Linked DNA regions of Caenorhabditis elegans. The protein of the gene in region 1 purifies or fractionates together with the protein of each later gene. This does not show direct contact. Each region holds a gene or a part of one and is shown in the gene's direction. Other genes may lie near its edges.

Region 1 (7,541 bases):
TACGCAGACACCCAAATAGAAATCGATAGAGAAGTGTGGCGGGGGTCCACGGAAGGTGTCCTGGTCTCTTTCCGTCTCTTTATTCTCTCTATTCTCTCGCTACACCCTTCGAACGTTCTCTGCTGTGCACACTATAGATTGGAGAACACTCGTCGGAAAATACTATAGATTTCTATCGTCCGGGGGACCGAGATGGAATCTGTAGAATTGTTGGAAAAGTGAGCAGGAAACCGGGAAGAGATAACAATTGAACGGGAAATTGGAAATTGGAAAACTGTAATAGTTTGGGAAACAACTACAGTTTGGCCGAAGTCTGAGGGCTTTTGAAGTACGATTATTCAACTTTTTGATAATCCAACTACTTCAATGAATAGTTTTTTTTTCCAACGTTTGCCGAAAGGTTTTCCTGTTGTGGAGCTGTCTGGGTGGAATCCAATTGCCGGAATTGAAAATTTCCGGTAAATAGGCAAAATGCCGGAGCCCCCATAGAGTTTTCGTTACTCGAAAAATCGGCAAAAATTGCTGAAGAATGGCCAAGATTTTCTCAGGGGTAAGCGGCAAATCGCCGGAATTGAAAAGTTCCGGCAAATTGGCAAAATGCCAGAATTGAAAAATTCCGACAAATCGACAAACCGGCAAAATGCCGGAATTACAATTTCTGGCAAATCGGCACATTGCCGGAATTGAAAAATTCCGACAAATCGGCAAACCGGCAAATTGCCGGAATTGAAATTTCTGGCAAAAAATCGGCAGATTGGAGGAATTGAAATTTCCGGCAAATTGTCGGAATAGAAATTTCTGTCAAATCGGCAATTTGCCAAAAATGACAAATTCCGGCAAATTGGCAAATTGCCGGAATAGAAATTTCTGGCAAATCGGCAGTTTGCCGAAAATGACAAATTCCGGCAAATCGGCAAATTGCCGGAATAGAAATTTCTGGCAAATCGGCAATTTGCCAAAAATGACAAATTCCGGCAAATTGGCAAGCTTCCAGAATTGACAAATTGAAAATTTCAGACAAAAATCGGCAAATTGACGGAATTGAAAAATTCCGACAATGATTTGTCGGAATCGGAGCAAACCGACAAATTGCCGGAATCGGAATTTCTGGCAAAAAATCGGCAATTTACCGAAAATGAAAAATTCCGAATCAGCTAACCGACAATTTGCCGGAATTGAAATTTCTGGCAAATCGACAATTTGCCGAAAATGACAAATTCCGGCAAATCGGAAAATTGCCGGAATTGAAATTTCCGGCAAAATATCGGCAAATTGTCAGAACTGAAAAATTCCGGCAAACCGGCAAATTGCCAAATTTGCCGGAAAATATCCTTGCCAAGCGGCAATCTCTATTGGCTGATGTAATCAAATTCCATAGGCGTTGCATCTCATCTTTTCACGTGAACAGCACATGTCAAATGTGAAAAACCGGCAAAAATTGAACTGATAAACGAAGACAATGAATGGAAAATTATACATACGATATGTTATAATGTGCATTTAATCTTATCTATCAAAAAGTTCAAGTACTCTTTTTGTTGGAATAAATTGGAAAATTCAAATTTTTCTAATTTCAATTTCATTTTGAAATGAAAGAAAAAAACTTGGTTTCTTATGTGACGAGAGATCACACTGAACAAAAAAACCAGCTTCCAAAACAACATCATCACGAGAAAACAGAGAAAAATGCGAAACAACAAGCAAAAGCTTGGGTGCCGCGTCTGCGTCTCTTTTGTATTTTTGTCGTGTTGTGTGCTTGGGGGGTCTGCTGACTTGTCTCGTCTCTCCATGAACGTCCAATGGAGCGCGGTTGCTAAGGGGTGGTAGACGCATTTTTTCGAAAGTGTGTACTTTGAACCCATTCTTTGCAAGTAGTCGTTCCTATTCATTGCACAGTGAAAGTTGGCTCATAACGCTCAGAATCGCGAAGTTTTCGATTATTTGAAGTATGTTTGCTGTAGATTCAACAAATTTTGGACCTTTGGCAGGTTTTTGAGCAAAAATCGGCAATTCTGGGAAAGAGGCAAACGTTTTTCCGGCAAGTCGGCAAATTTCCGTAATTGAAAATTTCCGGCAAACCGGCAAACTGCCGAATTTGAAATTTCCGGCACGTCGGCAAATTGCCGGATTTGAAATTTCAGGAAAGTCGGCATTTTGCTGGAATTGAATATTTCCGGCAAATTGTCGAATTTGAAATTTCCGGCAAGCCGGCAATTTGCCGAAAATTAAAATTTCTGCCAAATCGGCAAATTGCCGGAATGGAAAATTTCCGGCAAACCGGTAAACGGCAATTGCCAAAAATTTTCGGCAAAGTGTGGTTTTGCACATTCCCTTCTAGAAATTTCAATTTTGATCGGCAAATTTCCGGCAATTTCCCAAATTGCCGGAATGAAAAATTTCCGGCAATTGCAAAACTTGCCGAAAAGACGGCAATTACCAAAAATCAACGGCAAATTGTGTTTCCGTCTTATGAAAAAATCCCACTAAAATGTTCCGGAAAATCGGCAATTTGCCGAAACAGAAAATTTCCGGCAAACCGGCAATTGGACGAATTTTGCCGAGAATGAAAAGTGAAAATTTCCGGCACATGCAGAATTTGCCGGAAAAAACGGTGGTTGCCAAAAATTTTCAGCAAATGGTGTTTCCGTCTTATAAAAAAATCCCTCTAAAAGTTTCCGGCAAATCGGCAAATTGCCAGAATAGAAAATTTCCGGCAAGTTACCGAATTTGCCGAAAAAAACTTGTCAAAAATGGGCCGTTTCTGAGGAGTTTTCCCAAAAAAAAAACTGTAAAATTTCGGTTTTTAATCGAATTTTCACCTTTTTCTACTGAAAATTACACTGAATCTTGATAAAACTGCATGGCAAAAATTCCACAGAGTTTTATTAAATTTCAGTGTAATTTTTAGTCAAAAAAGGTGAAAATCCGATTAAAAACCGATTGTTTTAGAGGATAATTTTTAGTCAGGTGAAAAAAGAATTTTTAGTCAGGTGAAAAAAAGAATTTTTAGTCAGGTTTTAAAAGGTGAAAATTCGATTAAAAACTGATTTTTCTAGGAAATTTCCTAAAAAATAGGCTAGAAGCTGCACATTTTTGCCGTAACTTGACATTTTTTCAGTTATTTCCTAAAAAAAAGTCGAAAATTGACGGAAAACTTGAATTTTTATGTTTTTTCGCTATTTTTGTTCAAAAATCTCCAAAAACATGTGATTTTTTTCCAATTTTTCAAATTTCAGCCCAAAATGAGTAGACGTTACGATACAATAAAGCATCTTGGAGAAGGACAATTCGCCAACGTTTATCTCGCACAAGACCTCGAATCGGGCGAATGTGTGGCTATTAAAAAAGTATTTATACATTTTTCCGCTGAAAAAATGAAAAAAAAACCGCGTAAATTTGTAGATCAAACTAGGATCGAGAGAAGAAGCAAAAGATGGAATCAATCGAACGGCGATTCGAGAGATTAAACTTTTGAAGGAAATTCATCATGACAATATTATCGGGGTTTGGAAATTTTTGGATTCAAATTTGAAATTTTCAGGCCTAGAAGCCCAAATTAAAAAAAAAATCTGTGAAAATTAACTGAGAAAACCGATTTTTTGGCAAATTTTCCAACAAAAGTGAAAATTTAGTGAAGAATATTACACATACGCGAAACATTGTGATTTTTACTCTAAAAATACGTGTTTTTACTGGAAATTGGGAAATTTTGAATTTAAATTTGAAAATTTCAGAAAAAGATGGCCAAAAGATGGCGAAATCTTAAAATTCCTTAAAAATCTGTAAAAAAATAACTGAGAAAACCGATTTTTTGGCAAATTTTCCATGCACTTTTATTGTTAATTGCAAAAATATTACACATACCCGAAAAATTGTGATTTTTGCTCCAAAATTACGGTACCAGGTCTCGACACGACAATTTTTTTGTTAAATGCGAAAAGGTGTGTGCCTTTAAAGTTAGAGTACTGTATCTTCAAACTTTTGTGGAAATTTTCACTGAAAACAGGAAAATTTTGAGTTAAAATTTGAAATTTTCAGACCAAATTTTTTAAAAATCTGTAAAAATTAGCCGAGAAAAAACGGATTTTTTTTTGTCAAATTTTCCATCAATTGTTAGCTGTAAAATATCATTACACATACGCGAAATTTTGTGATTTTTGTTCCAACCTGGTCTCGACACGACAATTTTTTGTTAAATTCGAAAATTCGTGCGCCTTTAAAGAGTACTGTAGCTTCAAACTTTCGTTTCTGCTGGATTTTCATCGGATTTTTACATAGTTTTTTCGATAAAAATTGTATTTATTTATTTAGAAGAAAAATAATTTTTTTAAAAATAAATAAATATATTTTTATCGAAAAAACTATGTAAAAATCCGATAAAAATCCAGCAGAAACGAAAGTTTGAAGCTACAGTACTCTTTAAAGGCGCACACCTTTTTCAATTTGGGTAACAAACAGTTGTTGTGTCGAGACCAGGTACCGTAATTTTGGAGCAAAAATCACAAATTTTCGCTTATGTGTAAAAGCGGATTTAATATTTGAAGTTTTTGAAGAAATTTTTTTTTGAAACAAAAATTCGATTTTTGGTATTAAAAATCCCAAATTTTGCGATTTTTGTTCAAAAATTACGGTACCTGGGGTTTCGACACGACAAGTTTTTGTTAATAGCGAAAAGCTGTGCGCCTTTAAAGAGGCTACTGTAGCTTCAAACTACCGTTTCTGCCGTATTTTCATCGATTTTTCATAGTTTTTTCGATAAAAATTATATTTATTTTTTTAGAAAAAAAAAAGAATCGAGTATAAAGTTTACTATTTATATTTGATTTTTTTTTCTAAATAGAAAAATAAAATTTTTATCGAAAAACTTTGCAAAAATCCGATGAAAATCCGGCAGAAACGAAAGTTTGAAGCTACAGTAGCCTCTTTAAAGGCGCATCACACCTTTATCGATTTAACAAAAAAATTGTCGTGTCGAGACCAGGTACGGTAATTTTGGAGCAAAAATCACAAATTTTCGCGCATGTGTAATTTTTTCATTAAAAATAAAAGTGCATGACCATTTTTCAAAAAAAATTTTTTTTTTGGAAAATTTTACAAAAAAATCGGTTTTTTCTCATTATCAGTTTTTTTTACAGATTTTTTTTAAATTTAAAATTAATAAAATAAATAAATCGATTTTAAAAATTGAATTTTTCTGAAAAATTCGATTTTTGTATTAAAAAATCCTAAATTTTCAATTTTTTTCAGTTACGAGATGTGATTGGACATCGAACAAGTATTCAACTGGTTTTCGACTTTATGGATACAGATCTCGAACATGTGATTAAGGATAAAGAAATTATTCTAATGCCAGCACATATCAAAAATATTACGATGCAAATGCTTCTGGGACTCGAATTTCTACACGTTCACTGGATTCTTCACAGAGTACGGTTTTTGATGGAGAAAATTGGAAATATATTGAAAATTTGCGGAAAATAACTAAATTTCGATATTTTTTTGGCTAAAACCATGAAAAATTGAACTCAAAAGTTATTTTCTGAGTGAAAAAATTAAAAGTTAACAAAAAAAAATTGTTATGATTTAATTTGTAAAAAATATATTCAAAATTTGATGAAAATAGCTAAATTTGATATTTTTGGCAAAATTAACTGGATTTTCGAACTTTTTTGAGGGAAAAAAAAATATTTTAGTGTAAGAAATTTATTTTCCGATTTTTTTTTTGAATTAAAAGCACGAAAAATGACGGAATTCGGATGTTTTTGGCAAGGAATAGTTTAATTAATAAAAATAGACAAAATTCGATGAAATCGAATTTTTTTCGGGCGAAATTCGCTCAAAATTTGAATTTAATGAGTCAAACCGTGAAAAATTGGACTCTAAAATGTTTAAATAATTTTTTTCCGATTTTTACATATTTTTGAAATTATCTTTGAATAAAAATCAGGAAAACCCCGAATTTCGGGTGAAAACTGGCAACAAATCTGGAAAAATTTGGTTTTTATGGCAAATTTTCGAATTTTGAAAAATTCTAATACAAAAAATGTTTTAAATCGAACGAACTCGGATAAAAAGACATTTTTCATTCAAAAATTAGATTTTTCGAATCAAAAAATTCAAAATTTGAATAAACAATTTGGAATTATCAGAATTTTTGCAGTAAAATGTAATAATTTCCAAAAAAAAATCAGAAATTACCAGCCAGTGATCGTTTTTTTTTTTCGAGAAAAATGCGCCAAAAACATGTAATTTTGGGAATTTTTCAAATTTTGTGGTTTTTCCACATTTTCAAAAAAAGGGCTCCAAAAAGTATGAAAAATTGGAAATTTCACAAATTTTTCGGATTTTCTCCTTTTTTTTCGAGAAAAATGCGCTAAAAAACATGAAATATTGGAAAATGTAAAAAATAAAAAATTTTCGGATTTTCCTTTCTTTTCGAAAAAAAATATGGGCCAAAAATCATGAAATATAGGAAAATATTAAAATTTTCAATTTTTTCCTTCTTTTTCAGAAAAAAATGTGCCAAAAAGCATAAAATACTGGAAATTTTTCAAAATTTCTGGATTTTCCCTTTTTTTTTGAAAGAAAAAGCGCCAGATTTTCAATTATTTCCCAAAAAAATATTATATTTTTAAAATTTAATTTTTCCAGGATCTGAAGCCAAATAACCTGCTGATGAACAAAATGGGACGCGTGAAGCTCACCGATTTCGGTTTGGCTCGATTCTTCGGATCTCCAAACAGAAATTACACTCATCAGGTTTAAGAGGATTTTTTTCCTGAAAAAATTGCAAATTTCCCGATTTTCAGGTTGTGACAAGATGGTATCGAGCCCCTGAGTTGCTCTTTGGAGCACGTTCCTATGGAGTTGGAATTGATATTTGGTCGGTTGGATGTATCATTGCCGAATTGTTGTTGAGAGTTCGTTTTTAATGATTTTTTTTGGAGAAAAAATCGAAAATTCGTCAAAAATAGAGTTTCCTTCGAGAAAATCAAAAAATTTGCTTTTTGGCTTTTCTTTTTCGAAAAAAAATAGGAAAAAAACTGGAAAATGTGCAAAATTTCATAATTTTTTGGCGCATTTTTCCGGAAAAAAAAAACCGAAATTTTTAAATATTTTTTTTTCCACTTTTCTTTCGGAAAAATCGGAGAAAAACTGAGAAATTTTGTGAAATTTTCAGTATTTCATACTTTTTTCGAAAAAAAATTGGAAAAAAACTGAAAAATTGTGAAATTTCATAATTTTTGAAAAAAAAACCGAATATTTCCAATATTTCATTATTTTTAAACGCTTTTTTCGAAAAAAAAAACTTGAATTTTTTTTGGCACAAAATTCTCAAAAAAAAAAGTCAATAAATTTCACTTAAAAACATTTTAATATTCTAATTAAAACCCATATTTTTTCTGAAAATTAACTGCAAAAAATTCGATTTTTCGAACCAAAAATTCAAATTTTTAATTTAAAAAAATTTGGAATTTTTTGTTATTTTTCAAAAATGTTCAATTAAAAAAAAAATTCTGATTGCCTTTGAATTTGGAGGA
Region 2 (5,379 bases), 5.0 Mb from region 1:
AGAAACGGCTTGAGTTTATCGACTCTGAGACGTGAGTTGTAACGTTTATCATGTTTCTTTAGTATTACTTCTTGCACGCTATTGATTTACACGAAACAAATAAAAATAACAAATAAATTTTACCTTTAAACGTTTTAAAATGCAACAAAACTTTAATTACAATTTTCAGCAAACGAGTGGAAGCCAGCATCTCAGACATTTCGAAGAAGTGTACGGAACAGCGAGACAAGGTGATGAATATGCAAAAAAGCTTCCAGATGATGGCTCAAGCAGCAGCCCAAGCACAGAAGAAATAATCCAGTTTGTTCTATGAATCTCATATTTTTTGCTCTTAATTTGTTATTTTTTGCCTATTCTTCATCTCTGGTGTTTCTCCGAAACGAGAAGATCACATTAATTTTTCTATGAAAAAAATAAGTTTCTTGTTTCGGGGAACCATTTACAATAAATGCTTTCAAACTGTTTTATACCATTTGTGCTCACGTCTATGTTAAAAGTCATTGCTAATTACATCAGTTCTGATTTATAACTATATTCATTTTCTTGCTATTCAGATGCATAATGGGTACCATTCTTATTTTCCTCCAAATCACTATTATGCTCAAAGTCAGCCATCATCGTCGTATAATCCCCAACCACAAATTCAACAACCGCAAACCCAAATATATGGATTGGTAGTTGGTTACAATAAATATGGAAACAGAAATTATCTTTTCTATACCAAAAATATCGATGGATTTGTCGAAATCAGTGGAAATATTCAGAGCCTGCAGATAGGACGCTGGCTAAAGTTAGACATTATTTTATCTGATTTTATTAACTAGCAATTTTAGATTAACTGTTTGTCAGAACTTCGTGGGACAATACGTATTGGATTCCTCAAATAGTTGTGGATATGAAAACTGGGACGTTTTGCCGAATCACAGAAATTCATCGGCGAGATTCTTTCCGAAGTATGAGGCTAACGATGAAGGAGAAATTTTGGTAATCTCAAATGGAAAAAGTTTTAATAAATAAAGAGTACGGATTTTTATAATTTTTCAGATAACAGCTCGATTTGATGTAATAGTAGATCGGAAAAATAATTTGTATGATTTCACCAGTTACGATATTTCCTATGATCATATTATTGACGACTTTAGTCTGATCAAATCATCATGTCAACACTATGATGGACGCAGTTTTATTGTTGAAGTAAGTTATCGATTTTAAAAAAAACTATTAAAATAAAAATATTGCAGGCTCAAGCATCTCTGGCAGGTTGGGTCGCATTGAGTGTGCATGAAGATCCACAAAAGCTACACACCTGTGATGCTGTAAGCCGAAATGGATATCAATCAGTATGTGGCAAAAGTGTCCTGGTTCATTTTGAATTGTTCACATTTTGGTTTTTGCTTATCAAAATTTCCCAGAACATATAAGCCACAACCTCCTGCAGTTTACATAATATAATTTCAGCTCCCGAATCCAGTCGTTGATTCTGATGTACAGTATCTTCATGATACAAGACTGTTGGATGTATGTGACTTATAGTTCAGAATTTTTCAAGTAATCACATTTTTAGATTATGACTGGTAATGGATATGTTCAAACACCCGAAACCGACGTACAAGATCAACAATCAAGTCAACATCAAGAAGACGTGCATTCTCAAATGAACTCGCAGACATCTGATTCGTACAATTCCTCTAGAGTTGTGTCAGAGAATCGGGAAATACCTCCGGAAACTTTTCGAAGCCAAAGTATCGAATTGAATCAAGTTGATTCATCCTTGTCCCAGACTACAATCTCAAGTCGAGCAGCACCAGTTATTGATTCAAATCAGTTATCAGATGAAGATGAAATTGATGATGAAGATACATACGGAACACGTGGAACATCTAATATTCCGATGAGACCGTTTATTAAAGATTTAGCTCCAACGATGCTTCAACTGCTTCGTCAAGATAAAACTGATTCCGAAAAAGTACGTAATGCCAGAACAATAATATTAATCTTCATCACCATATTTCAGCCTCAATCTGCTTTATGCACCGTTGTGCAAAAAATCGATGGCTTTGCAATTTTGTACACAGCCAAAAGAGACGTTATAAACGTTTTGCTTCAAGAAAGATCGTGTGAAGGATTGGAAAGATCCCCTCAACTCGGAGACGTGGCATTCTTCGATATCTTGCCTCGTAGAATTGAAACAAAAGATAGGCTCATTTTCAAGATTCCATATACACATATTGCAGGTATTTTACAATTTACCAATGTTTTAAAAAAACTTTAATTTTAAGTGAAAAAGAAACCAGACACGCCAGATTCTCTCCTTAAAATTGATTGCTTTAAAAACTCGGTCAGATGCTTCGGAGGAGTGCTTGAAATGAAAGTAAAAATCGCACTTTCAAAACCTGAACTAGTAGTGGAGCAATATCATGACAACACAGAGATGAACTCGGATCATCATTTTTATTATTTGAAAGCAACAAATGGAGTACTTGTCACAATTCCAAAAGAACGTCTTCTGAATCATTTGAATTCGAAATTATCAGCAGATTTTGACCTAATCGCGTGGGTTGTTCATCGAAAACCAATTGGAAATGTTTCATTACATATTGGAAAGGGAGGTGAAGCTTATCAACAGTTCACAAATGGAGATATTCGAGAGCTTCCGCCATTGTCTTCTAATCAATATTTCATGAATGGTAAGTAAGAGGGAAACCGAGTTTTCGAAGAAACCTAGGAGAATTCTTGGTTTTCTATTCAAATTATTATTTCAGTTCGAAAGTAAAAACTGCACAATCGACAAATCACGTTATGGGTTCAAATTGTATTCTGGTACATTAATTCTTGTTCTTGTGTTAACTTTTTTGATTATTTTTTGTATCATTTTACTGATTAAAGCATTTATTTTCACATGTTTATTGTTTATTTCTCGTTGTCTAGCGTTTTCATCGTTTGAAATATATTGCATATTGGTTATTTTTTGCCCATTTTTCAATATTTTAGTATGGCTTCCTCTTTGGTTAAAACCGCTTTGCGTCTTGCTTACCGTAATCCAGTTAGGTCAGGGTTACTGTAGGCAAGGTGTCTTTATCGATTCCACCATTTTTCAGGTTTACAAAGAGAAACATGTCGGAAGTAGATAAAGCCCACTTGGCGGCAATTAACAAAGATGTTCAAGCCAACGACACTCTTTTCGGAAAAATAATTCGAAAAGAGATTCCAGCGAAAATCATTTTTGAAGATGATGAGGTATGTAAGATCAGGCAAACGATCACATAAAATATTTATTTAAGGCTCTCGCATTCCATGATGTCTCTCCACAAGCTCCAATTCATTTTCTTGTGATCCCTAAGCGTCGCATTGATATGCTCGAGAATGCCGTTGATTCGGATGCTGCGCTTATTGGAAAGCTTATGGTTACTGCTTCAAAGGTAATTATAAATGAGTAAAAACGAATTTGAAAATCCAGAAATCTCCATTATATTACTCTTAAATAAAATTCCAGGTTGCAAAGCAGCTCGGCATGGCCAATGGATACCGTGTTGTTGTGAACAATGGAAAAGATGGAGCTCAATCAGTTTTCCATCTTCATCTCCACGTTTTGGGAGGACGTCAGCTCCAATGGCCACCTGGATAAATATTGCATTGCTTACATTCTGCCACTAATTCATTATCAGTCTTGTAAACAAATCAGTAAAAAATTATATTTATATTTATTTCCAAAACTATTTTAAACCGTGGCATCATGTTTTTTGAAATAAATGCATTCTTTTTCTTCTATCTGACGTGTTCAATTATTGAAACAATTAATCATTTCTGGTATAAAATATGACGCTGTACGATAAAGTGAAATCAATTCTGACGATTCCTGACAAAAATAGTAACGATTCGATCGTCAACGCAACTGACTTGTACTTGGAGTGGGAGAAAGGAGACGGGCAGTGTAAGTGTCACGTGTTTCAATGGCAAAGAAAGAGTTTTTAAATGTCATGAAATATGAATGTCGCCGGGCCCGGTTAGCTCAGCCGGTAGAGCACCAGACTCTTAATCTGGTTGTCGCGGGTTCGAGCCCCGCATTGGGCTGATCTTTTTGTATAGTTCAATTTTTTTCAGATCTTCTTCCACTCTTATTGATTTTCGTTATCTTCTTTTGCATAACTTGCGGTGTGTTTCAAGCTTTGTTGAGCCTTGTGGTTCTCTGTATCAGAAGCCTTTGCGGATTTGATGAGGAAGATGAAAACTTCAATATCAATGGAAACCACTTTGCTAGAAATTCGACACCTTCTGAACATCACGAGGAAATTGGAAATTTGGTACGGTTGTTTTAAAAGGTTTTTTGATTATTATATTTAGAAAATAACAATATCAGAAAATCACAATAACGGCCATTCAGATTTTATTCAAAGCGTGTCCTTTCCATGGTCATAAACATGATGGAAGATCCAAATTAAAAGTAATTAAGTGATTGAAAATGATTATGGGACCTTTTGAATGAAATTTTGTTTCTCAACCTAATGTAAGTCTATTTTAGATGGGAACTGAAGCTGCATCCATATCTGAACTTCCTCAATATGGAACACCACGAACCAGAAAATCGAATACTTCTTCATCTCAGAACAGATGCCTTTCAGTTTGATTCGTTGAGTGAATTGGATTCTCAAACTTGATAACTCGTACCTTGATATCTCAATAAAAAGAAAATGAAAACTATGATAAATTCATATTCCCAAATTTCTACCATCCACTTGTTATTATTAATCTTTGTGTTTTCTTCTGTTATTTTTGTTAAAACATCTTCCTTAAAAACAGGTCGAGATAGAAAGTGTACTGTTCCAGTGTCACGACAATCAACAAAATTGCAAGAGTATAAGAGAACAATTTACAAAAATTGGATTGGAAAATATAACAAAAATGATCCGGTATATTATTCTGCTAGTATATTTTCTAATTTTTGAAGTAAACTCTCAGTTAGACTGCTCAAAAGCTCCAACTCCTGCTATTCGAATAATGTGTAATCAGATTCAAAGATGGGATCAAAAAGCAAGGGTAAGTGGTTTAAGGATTACATTATTTGAAGAAATGTACTGAAATTATTCTTAAACTTTTGATGCATAATCTTAAAGTTCAGGCAACTCCATCATTATCCGGTGACGTGAAAACACCTGGAATTGCTGGTAAAGCAATGGCTGCTGAATTTTCTCCAATTGCAAGTAATGTGTTTCAATGTATGGATATCGCTTGTCTTTGTGTATTTTTCAGAGGTAAGTAACATAATCTGTCATAATTTTGACAATTATAAAATAGCCTCAAAGCTGATCTATAAAAGATAAATGTAATATAGAATGTAGAATCAATTTGTGAGCTTTCATCGTTTATACTTTTGGTGATCAA
Region 3 (8,841 bases), on another chromosome or scaffold:
GTTAATCCCTACGTGCCACGTCATTATAGAAAATGCAACATGGGACACTCAATCAATGAAAGCCAGATGCGTCGGGCTTTGGAGTTGGGAAGCCTGTGGCGCCGGATGTGAGATGCAATGTCGTTCCAGGCGAACAAACACACTGGGCCTTTGCTTTTTTTATTATTGTAGTTGTGAGCCGGATATCACTTTCTATTTTTGGACTTTGTATGCCTCCAAATGTAAAATTATCTAGAATCATAAGGCATATCACAAGGTTTGAGAGGAAATCTAAATTTCTAATCAAATGACGACTATCGAGCAGAACAAAAGCTATGACTAATGAATCAACAGCTCACTAATCATTCTACCTAGGATTGATGTTTATGCCAAAATCAACTGATATGTTGAGATTTTTTGATTATAATTTGAAACTATTCAGAGTCAAACAGCAATTCGTTTCACTTCACTAAATGTGTCAAAGCCTTGTACAAATATGACTATACACAATTACAACAACATCATCATCATCAATATATAATTGGTGTGAGCGTCCACGACGTACCATAGCAGCATTTTGAATGAGCGCGAAATAACCGCCTAGTCTCCGTCACAAATGTACAACACATAGTTGTCCCGTCTTTGTCGTCTTTCCCTTTTTTCTTGTCGCTCCACTTTTCAACATCCTTCCAGCTCTTTTAAATAAAATATTTTGCACACACACACACACACACACACACACACACACACACACACACACACACACATACATACATACATACATACGCCGTGAGCGAAATAGCGGGGACAATAGCGATAGCCAACAGTTGGGACCTATATGCCACCCATTGTTTTGCAACTAAACTAACCTTGACAACTACCAATTAGGCAAAGTATGGGTGTGTTCCGGCACACCTGAAACTTTGCTCACCTACGACCAATCTGACAGCGAGGTTGAGACGAAAGTATCAGGCGGCCGGATGGCACAACCTGTGTTGAGGATGAGAAGTTATTAGAATGGTGGCCTCTAGAAGGAACCTGGACTAGAATAGAAGTCGTTCGTTGGGATGCACGGATGAAACAGAGCGCCATGGGCACAAGAACACGACTGAAGGCGCGCGCGCCGTCGCTCATACACTCACATACACATACACTGAGGGAGAAGGGGAGACACATTCGACGACCGCTCATATTGAGGGTGGAATAGGAGGACGAGGAGCGACGAAGAATGAGCGGGGCAAGAGGACGGATGGAGGAGGCGAGAGGAGGGCGCGCACACAGCCAAAAGGGGCGGGACGACGACTCCTCCCCGCCTCACGTTTCAGCAAGCTCTGGGCTTTAGCTAACAAATGGTGTCAATAGAGTACATTGAATGATCCCATCACAAATAGGCCTTGTTTGGAAGAATCGGAAAACATACTAACAGTACTTATTCCTACATTATATGAATAGTAGAAAAGCTAAAGTGTGGGAAAACATCAAAATTAAGATATTAATTCGCAAGTATATATTCTCGCAAATATCTAGGGAAGCGAATCTTCGTTCAGTTGAGAATTGAGTTTCAAAAGTAAGACAGCGATAGGAATAGCATGACGGTGTCATAAAAAGACAAAGCTGCAATAATTCCATTGAATATTATGATTTGGAAGAAGAAGAAGCATCGGCAAACATTCTTGTAATAAAAATCGCTTGAAATTTATACATTTTCAGTTTCTACAAATCTTTATATTTCTGCAAATCACGGAGGATTTGAAGTCAAATGTTACTGATACTTATTCCGAGCTGATTCGGGATGCGACGAATACCTATAGAGGTCCTGGTGTTCTCTGTGAGATTTCAATATTTCGTGCAACATGAAATAGCAATGATCGACTCAAAATGCCACGTCACGATAATTACATATACAAAGGCCATCTACAATCGTCGGCATTGTCGTAAAACTTTTTGTGTCATCGAGTTGTTAGACAAATATTTCCGCGGCGGTTCGGTTCGGGAGACCACCACCTCCACCACCGCAGACGGTATTGAATTGGAGGGGAGCAACACAAGGACACACGATGAATGGCCTGACGAAGAGGGGCACAATAGGGGCTCTCCTTCTCCGTCGCCGCCGCCGCAGTCGACAGTCTTTCTCTGTTTCTTTCCTGTCTTTTCCATCACTTTCCTCCGGACGTCGTCATCGTTGTCCCGGTCACTACCTTAACCACCAGGCTGTTTGTGTTCAATTACCTGCGGGCGTTTTGTGTATGTTCGCGTCTGTATGTGAGAGATGAGGATGAAAAAGACAGAAAGAGAGAGAGACTAAGAACACGCTGTAATTACACAGCAACCTCATCCTCTGGATAATACTGACCGCCAGTGTGTCGTGTCAACAAGTCGGCTTAAATTATGAAGTAATTAGTCGCTCGTTCGTGGGTTATAGAATGGACTGTCCAGAATGAATTGACACGACATACTTTTTAATAATTCTTTACAGATGAAGGAGAATTCAGTGGCCGATCCTACATTTCTTCCACGTGTTACAAAATGTCATTTTAGAACGCTCACTCTCACAGAAATAAAGCAAATTCACTTTCTAGACAAAGCGAGTCAAACGGCAACTTTCATCTTGAAGTCAGGTCCACACAAGTACAAAACTTCAGCCAAGCTATGGAAGTTTTAAAGTTTAAACCCTGGAATTTCACTAGATTGTAACCAGAACTATACTTTGCAGAGATCACTGGAAGAAAAAGCTTGAACTATTTAAATTTTTATGCGATATTTTCAAAATGAAGAATTGCGTCATTAAACTTGACTCCAGCAAAACGATCAAAAGTTTCCCAATTCAAACAAACAAAACGCTCTCGAAAAAAACGAGCCGATCATCTTGCATCTTCCTCTTTGTAGTCAAATTTGAATTCGCAATTTCTCACTTTGATAATATCGAAATATTTATAAAAATTTCAGACGTAATATTTTAAACAGATTTATCTTGAAAACTACTCACCTTCGGTAGTTGAAGCTCGCTGTCACTCAGATCTTCTCTAACGTCGCCGTGTATTGAGTGATCCGATCCATAATCGAGCTCGTCGTCCATGTCTCTGCTGAAATAAATAAAATTTAGATACATTTAAACTGTTATGCACAATGAAGACAAGGGAGAAAAGTTCAACAATGAATAAATATATTTTTCAATGATCGAAAAGAGTTTGAAGAAGGCGTTCAATATATCTCGCAACAATAACTATTTTAAACGAGTAGAAAATGTTCAAAGGACGGTAAATATGCTTTTCGCGCAATAAAACTCGAGAGCTGAAAGCAAAAAGTCGAGATTGAACAAAATAAGGTAATACAAATTTATCATAGCGCATTAGCTTGATTTTTCGAAAAAAAAAACATATAAAAGAATGCGAGGAAATAGTGGCCAGGTTTTTCTCAGTGAAAAACGCTTCCAAACAAAACCGTAAAATCGATTGGCCCAAAAAACAGATTTCAAACAGCGCGGTAGAAATGTTTTTGCAGTGGAGCGCACATTCGCTACCCAAAATGCGCGGCAAAACAAAGCGAAAAGATTTGGAAATAAAAAAAATTGACTTTCAATTCTTATTTTATTGTTTTATTTATTGATTATCACAATCTAAACGGATTTTCGATGTTATGAAACTTTAAATTCCCACCTAATCGCCTTAATTCTCTCCCTATTAAATCTTTAAACGTTTGTTCAGACAAAAAAACGATTCGCGGCGTTTCGTTTGAGCACGTTTACATTACTATTTTGACAAACAATTTCTTTCTACTTTCATAGTTTATTTATTGTTCTAATGCTGAGTTTTATCAGAAATGACCTCCAAGCGTCCTGGCGGGAGCTCGTTTCAACCAGAAGTGAAGCGAAAGCGTGAAAGTGACGAATTCGAGCAGTGTTACGTTGTAAGTTTTTCATATTATGATTTCAAGCTTTTAAAAATTGCATTTTTTATTTTTAATGATCACTAACCATTTATTTTCAGTCAAGATTCGAAAATGAACTTCCATCTGTACCAACGATTGATAAAACAGGATGGGCCAGGCCAGCAGTCGATAAAGATCTCGGAATTAGCAAAAGCATTGCGTGTCAGATCTTAGAGGTCGAAACGTATCATGAAGACGGCTCTGCAACATCTTACGACAGAACAAATGTGAAGTTGTATGGTGTAACCAAATCTGGAAATTCGATTTGTGTCATTGTGACTGACTACTTTCCACATTTTTATTTCCAGGTAATCTAAGCTTTAAAAAATAAGTATTGGTAATATTTCTTACAGGCACCACAAGGATTCGGTGTCGAGCACATTGGAACTGCACAATCTGCAATTTGCAATATGGTTGCTGCAGCAAAACGCCGAGGTGGTAGCGGTCAAGCTCAATTGCCTGGAAAAGTAGTTGATAATCTTGTTCATGTGGAGATAGTTCACGGAGAGAATCTTTATTACTTCCGCGGTGCTGATACGAAAGTTCCTTTTGTCAAGGTGTCAGGATCTACAGAAGCTCTTCACAAAGCGCGAATGGAATTGAAAAATGGAGTTAACTTGATGGGAAAGGGTCCTGTGAACGTTGGGAATTTATACGAGTCAAATATTAATGTGATTGTCATGTTCTTGGCGAAAACGAATATTGTTGGATGTGGCTGGATTGAGGTTTTGACAATATTAGTTTTTTTTTAATTCTTTATGATTTCAGATTCCTGCTGGAAAGTGCCGAATTCTTTCAAACAGTGAAAAGTCGTCTCGTTGTCAAATAGAAGTCACAGTTCCGGTCAAAAACCTGATTGTTCATGAAAGTGATGGTGAATGGGCTGGAATTGCTCCTATTCGGTAAGTTTGAAAGTTTGAACTTACTTTTGAAAAAATAACTTTTTTAGTACTTTGTCTCTGGATATCGAATGTATTGGTCGACGTGGAGTGTTTCCCGAAGCAATTAAAGATCCTATTATTCAAATAGCTAATCTTGTGAAAATCGAAGGTGAAGCAGAACCATTTGTTCGTAATTGTTTCGTTCTTGGAACATGTGCACCGGTCGTCGGTTCAAATATCATTCAATGTGTGAATGAAAAAGTTCTTCTCGAAAAGTGGGCTGAATTTGTTCGTGAAGTGGATCCCGACATTATCACTGGATATAACATTCTCAATTTTGATCTTCCATACATTCTGGATCGTGCTAAAGTTCTATCACTGCCACAAGTTTCTCATCTTGGTCGTCAGAAAGAAAAAGGCTCAGTTGTAAGAGATGCTGCAATATCATCGAAACAGATGGGAAGTCGAGTGAACAAGAGTATCGATATTCACGGAAGAATTATTTTTGATGTACTTCAAGTTGTACTTCGGGATTACAAACTCCGAAGTTATACACTCAATAGTGTCTCATATCAATTTTTATCCGAACAAAAAGAAGATGTGGAACATAATATTATTCCTGATTTACAACGAGGAGATGAACAAACTAGGAGGCGATTGGCTCAATATTGTTTGAAAGACGCATATCTTCCTCTTCGTCTGCTTGATAAATTAATGTCAATTATTAATTACATCGAAATGGCTAGAGTCACCGGAGTTCCTATGAATTTCTTACTGACAAAAGGTCAACAAATCAAGGTAAATCAAAATATATTTTAAATTATAATACTGAAATTGTTGTAGATTCTATCAATGATGCTACGAAGATGTAAGCAGAACAATTTCTTCTTACCGGTAATTGAAGCCAATTCTGGGGATGGTGAAGGATACGAAGGTGCTACTGTCATTGATCCGATTCGAGGATTTTACAATGAACCAATTGCAACACTTGATTTCGCTTCTCTATATCCATCCATTATGATTGCTCATAATCTCTGTTACACGACACTTTTAAAATCCCCACAAGGAGTTGAGAATGAGGATTATATTCGGACACCATCTGGCCAATATTTTGCAACCAAATCTAAGCGCCGTGGGCTTCTTCCCGAGATTCTCGAGGATATTCTGGCTGCAAGAAAACGAGCGAAGAACGATATGAAAAACGAGAAAGACGAGTTCAAAAGAATGGTTTACAATGGACGACAATTGGCGCTTAAAATCTCTGCAAATTCTGTTTATGGTTTCACTGGTGCAACTGTTGGAAAGTTGCCATGTCTCGAGATTTCTCAATCAGTTACAGCTTTCGGAAGAAAAATGATTGACATGACGAAACTCGAAGTGGAGAGAATTTACAAAAAAGGAGCTCTCGATGGAAAATGTCCAGCAGATGCGAAAGTTATTTATGGCGATACAGATTCTGTAATGGTGAAATTCGGTGTCGAAACTGTAGCTCAAGCAATGGAAATTGGACTCGATGCTGCTAAAGAAGTCAGCAAGATTTTCACTCCGCCGATCAAACTTGAATTCGAGAAAGTTTACTCCCCATATTTACTTATTAACAAAAAGAGATACGCTGGCCTTTACTTCACTAAACCGGATGTTCATGACAAGATGGATTGTAAAGGATTAGAAACTGTTCGCCGTGATAACTGCCCTCTGGTTGCAAAAGTTCTCGGTGTTTGCCTCGAGAAATTACTAATAGAAAGAGATCAACAATCTGCTTTGGATTTTGCGAAACGGACAATTAGTGACTTGCTCTGCAATAAAATTGATATCTCATTGTTGATTATCAGTAAGGAATTAACAAAGTCTGGAGATGTAAGTTCGATTTCAAAACCTTACGAAACTAATTGATTATGTTCAGAAATATCAAGCAAAGCAAGCTCACGTTGAGTTGGCGGCTCGTATGAAGAAAAGAGACGCTGGAAGTGCACCAAGACTTGGAGATAGAGTTCCATATGTTTTTGTCGCTGCTGCAAAAAATGTTCCGGCATACGAACGAGCTGAAGATCCAACTTTTGTACTTCAAAATAACATTCCATTGGACACCAAACACTACTTGACTAATCAACTCGCCAAACCACTTGCCAGAATTTTCGAGCCCATCTTGGGTGATAGAGCAGAAAAGATTCTGGTGGAAGGAGAACATACAAGAGTTCGTACAGTCGTTCAGAGTAAAGTTGGAGGTCTTGCAGCGTTCACAACGAAATCTGCAACTTGTCTTGGTTGCAAGAGTGTTTTACCAAGAGCAGAATCAGAGAACGCAGTTTGCAAACACTGTGAGCCGAAGCTTCCAACGATTTTTGCTTCTAGGTAATTAGAAATGCAATAATTGTTCTACTATATTTTTCATTTCAGAATGAACACTATGCACGAACTTGAAAACCATTTTGGTCGCCTCTGGACCGAATGCCAAAATTGTGCAAAGACTATGCAAGACAAAGTGAATTGCTCGGCTCGAGACTGTCCGATCTACTATATGAGGGAAAAAGTTCGAAACGAGCTATCGGAGGCAAGTGCCGTCATCGAACGATTTGGAGATCCTTGCTTCCAGGCACCTACTAAATGAATTAATTATGATCCCGGTTTATTTGTCTAATTATTATTGACTGTGAATGATCTTACCACACTATTCATCTCATCACACATTTTTCTTTATTACTGGTTATCTTATAAACTCGCGTTGATGATTAAAACATATGTTTTTAATTCTTTAAACTTTTTTGTAAGCGATAATCGCTTAAAATACTTGTCTGATATATTAAATTTGAATTTAAAATACCACAATTTTCAGATGATCACTCGAAAAGCAATATTCTTTTTAGCATTAGCGTCAATTATTCAAGCATCAGATGATTCCGAAGCTCCCGATAATAAAAAGTCTTCAATAAGATTCACTCCATCAGTTATTGATTCTTATAGAGAAAAAGTTCAAAAAATGTTCTACCACGCCTACAACGGATATTTGGATCATGCATTTCCACTAGATGAACTGAAACCAATAACATGCGTTGGACAAGACACCTGGGGATCATTCTCTCTTTCATTAATTGATGCTCTAGATACTCTTCTGGTGATGGGAAATACAACCGAATTCCGAAGAGCAGTGTCACTTGTTCTTGAGAAAGCTCGTGATGATGCTAATGTGAATGTTTCTGTTTTCGAGACGAATATCAGAGTTGTTGGCGGATTAATATCTGCACATATGCTAGCGGGAAGGCATAAAGGTAATTTAAATTTCACAAGGAATATTACTAAACCATCATAAGATTCATTCCAGATCTTGTCGTAGATTGGGAAGGTTATCCATGTGATAGTCCGCTTCTCAAATTAGCTGTTAAAATGGCTGATCGACTTATGCCTGCTTTCAATACAGAAACTGGAATGCCCTATGGAACTGTTAACTTGAAATATGGAGTTCATAAAGATGAAACACCAATTACTTGTACAGCTGGTGTGGGCACATTTCTTATTGGTAATTTTTAAGATTTTAATAATATCCGGCTAACTTCCTTTTTTGAAGAATTTGGTACCCTCTCACGTTTGACTGGCGATGACAAATACGAAAAAGTGGCTCTAAAAGCGTTGGATGCTTTATGGTCGACAAGATCACCAATCGGACTCGTGGGCAATCATATCAATGTTCAAACAGGACAATGGACGGCAACTGATTCTGGAATTGGTGCTGGCGTTGATAGTTATTTCGAGTATTTAGCAAAAGGAGCATATCTATTCAGAAGACCAAGTCTTATGAAACAATTTCATGAACATGCAACATCAATTAATAAACATGTTCGGAAAGGTGAATGGTTTATGTGGGTATCAATGGCCAAAGGATCTGTCTCCTTGCCAATTTTTCAATCTCTTGAAGCATTCTGGCCTGGAACTCTAACAATGGTTGGTGATGTTCAAGATGCATCAAGAATTATGTTAACATATTCTGAAGTTATACGAAAATACGGGTTCCCACCTGAATTTTATAACATTCATAATGAAGAGCCAGGAGAAAAACGAG

The links.
Region 2: the proteins of cdk-7 (region 1) and hint-1 fractionate together in Caenorhabditis elegans (co-fractionation; one large-scale study listed by BioGRID). This does not show direct contact.
Region 3: the proteins of cdk-7 (region 1) and pold-1 fractionate together in Caenorhabditis elegans (co-fractionation; one large-scale study listed by BioGRID). This does not show direct contact.

The regions. Positions count from the first base shown.
Region 1 is NC_003279.8:2,285,449-2,292,989, reverse strand, and holds the start of cdk-7 (Cyclin-dependent kinase 7), read left to right. Parts: upstream 1-3,236; 5' UTR 3,237-3,242; coding exon 3,243-3,347; intron 3,348-3,402; coding exon 3,403-3,504; intron 3,505-5,247; coding exon 5,248-5,427; intron 5,428-6,651; coding exon 6,652-6,759; intron 6,760-6,809; coding exon 6,810-6,920; intron 6,921-7,541. UniProt on the Caenorhabditis elegans protein: Serine/threonine kinase involved in cell cycle control and in RNA polymerase II-mediated RNA transcription. Required for maintaining chromosome ploidy. May phosphorylate the large subunit of RNA polymerase II, ama-1.
Region 2 is NC_003279.8:7,278,047-7,283,425, reverse strand, and holds hint-1 (Histidine triad nucleotide-binding protein 1), read left to right. Parts: upstream 1-3,098; 5' UTR 3,099-3,114; coding exon 3,115-3,237; intron 3,238-3,281; coding exon 3,282-3,419; intron 3,420-3,493; coding exon 3,494-3,625; 3' UTR 3,626-3,756; downstream 3,757-5,379. Other genes in the region: pfd-6 (putative prefoldin subunit 6), read left to right, coding at 1-31, 170-296; rde-2 (SH2 domain-containing protein), read left to right, coding at 555-790, 834-984, 1,045-1,194, 1,242-1,340, 1,459-1,518, 1,565-1,966, 2,015-2,234, 2,280-2,687 and 1 more; F21C3.7 (Small integral membrane protein), read left to right, coding at 3,817-3,931, 4,102-4,301, 4,520-4,624; Putative tyrosinase-like protein tyr-3, read left to right, coding at 4,900-5,034, 5,117-5,249.
Region 3 is NC_003283.11:12,037,812-12,046,652, forward strand, and holds pold-1 (DNA polymerase delta catalytic subunit), read left to right. Parts: upstream 1-3,744; 5' UTR 3,745-3,798; coding exon 3,799-3,885; intron 3,886-3,965; coding exon 3,966-4,214; intron 4,215-4,259; coding exon 4,260-4,631; intron 4,632-4,674; coding exon 4,675-4,808; intron 4,809-4,855; coding exon 4,856-5,585; intron 5,586-5,630; coding exon 5,631-6,644; intron 6,645-6,690; coding exon 6,691-7,139; intron 7,140-7,184; coding exon 7,185-7,395; 3' UTR 7,396-7,536; downstream 7,537-8,841. Other genes in the region: Protein kup-1, read right to left, coding at 2,966-3,055; F10C2.5 (alpha-1,2-Mannosidase), read left to right, coding at 7,621-8,053, 8,107-8,301, 8,350-8,841. UniProt on the Caenorhabditis elegans protein: Possesses two enzymatic activities: DNA synthesis (polymerase) and an exonucleolytic activity that degrades single stranded DNA in the 3'- to 5'-direction.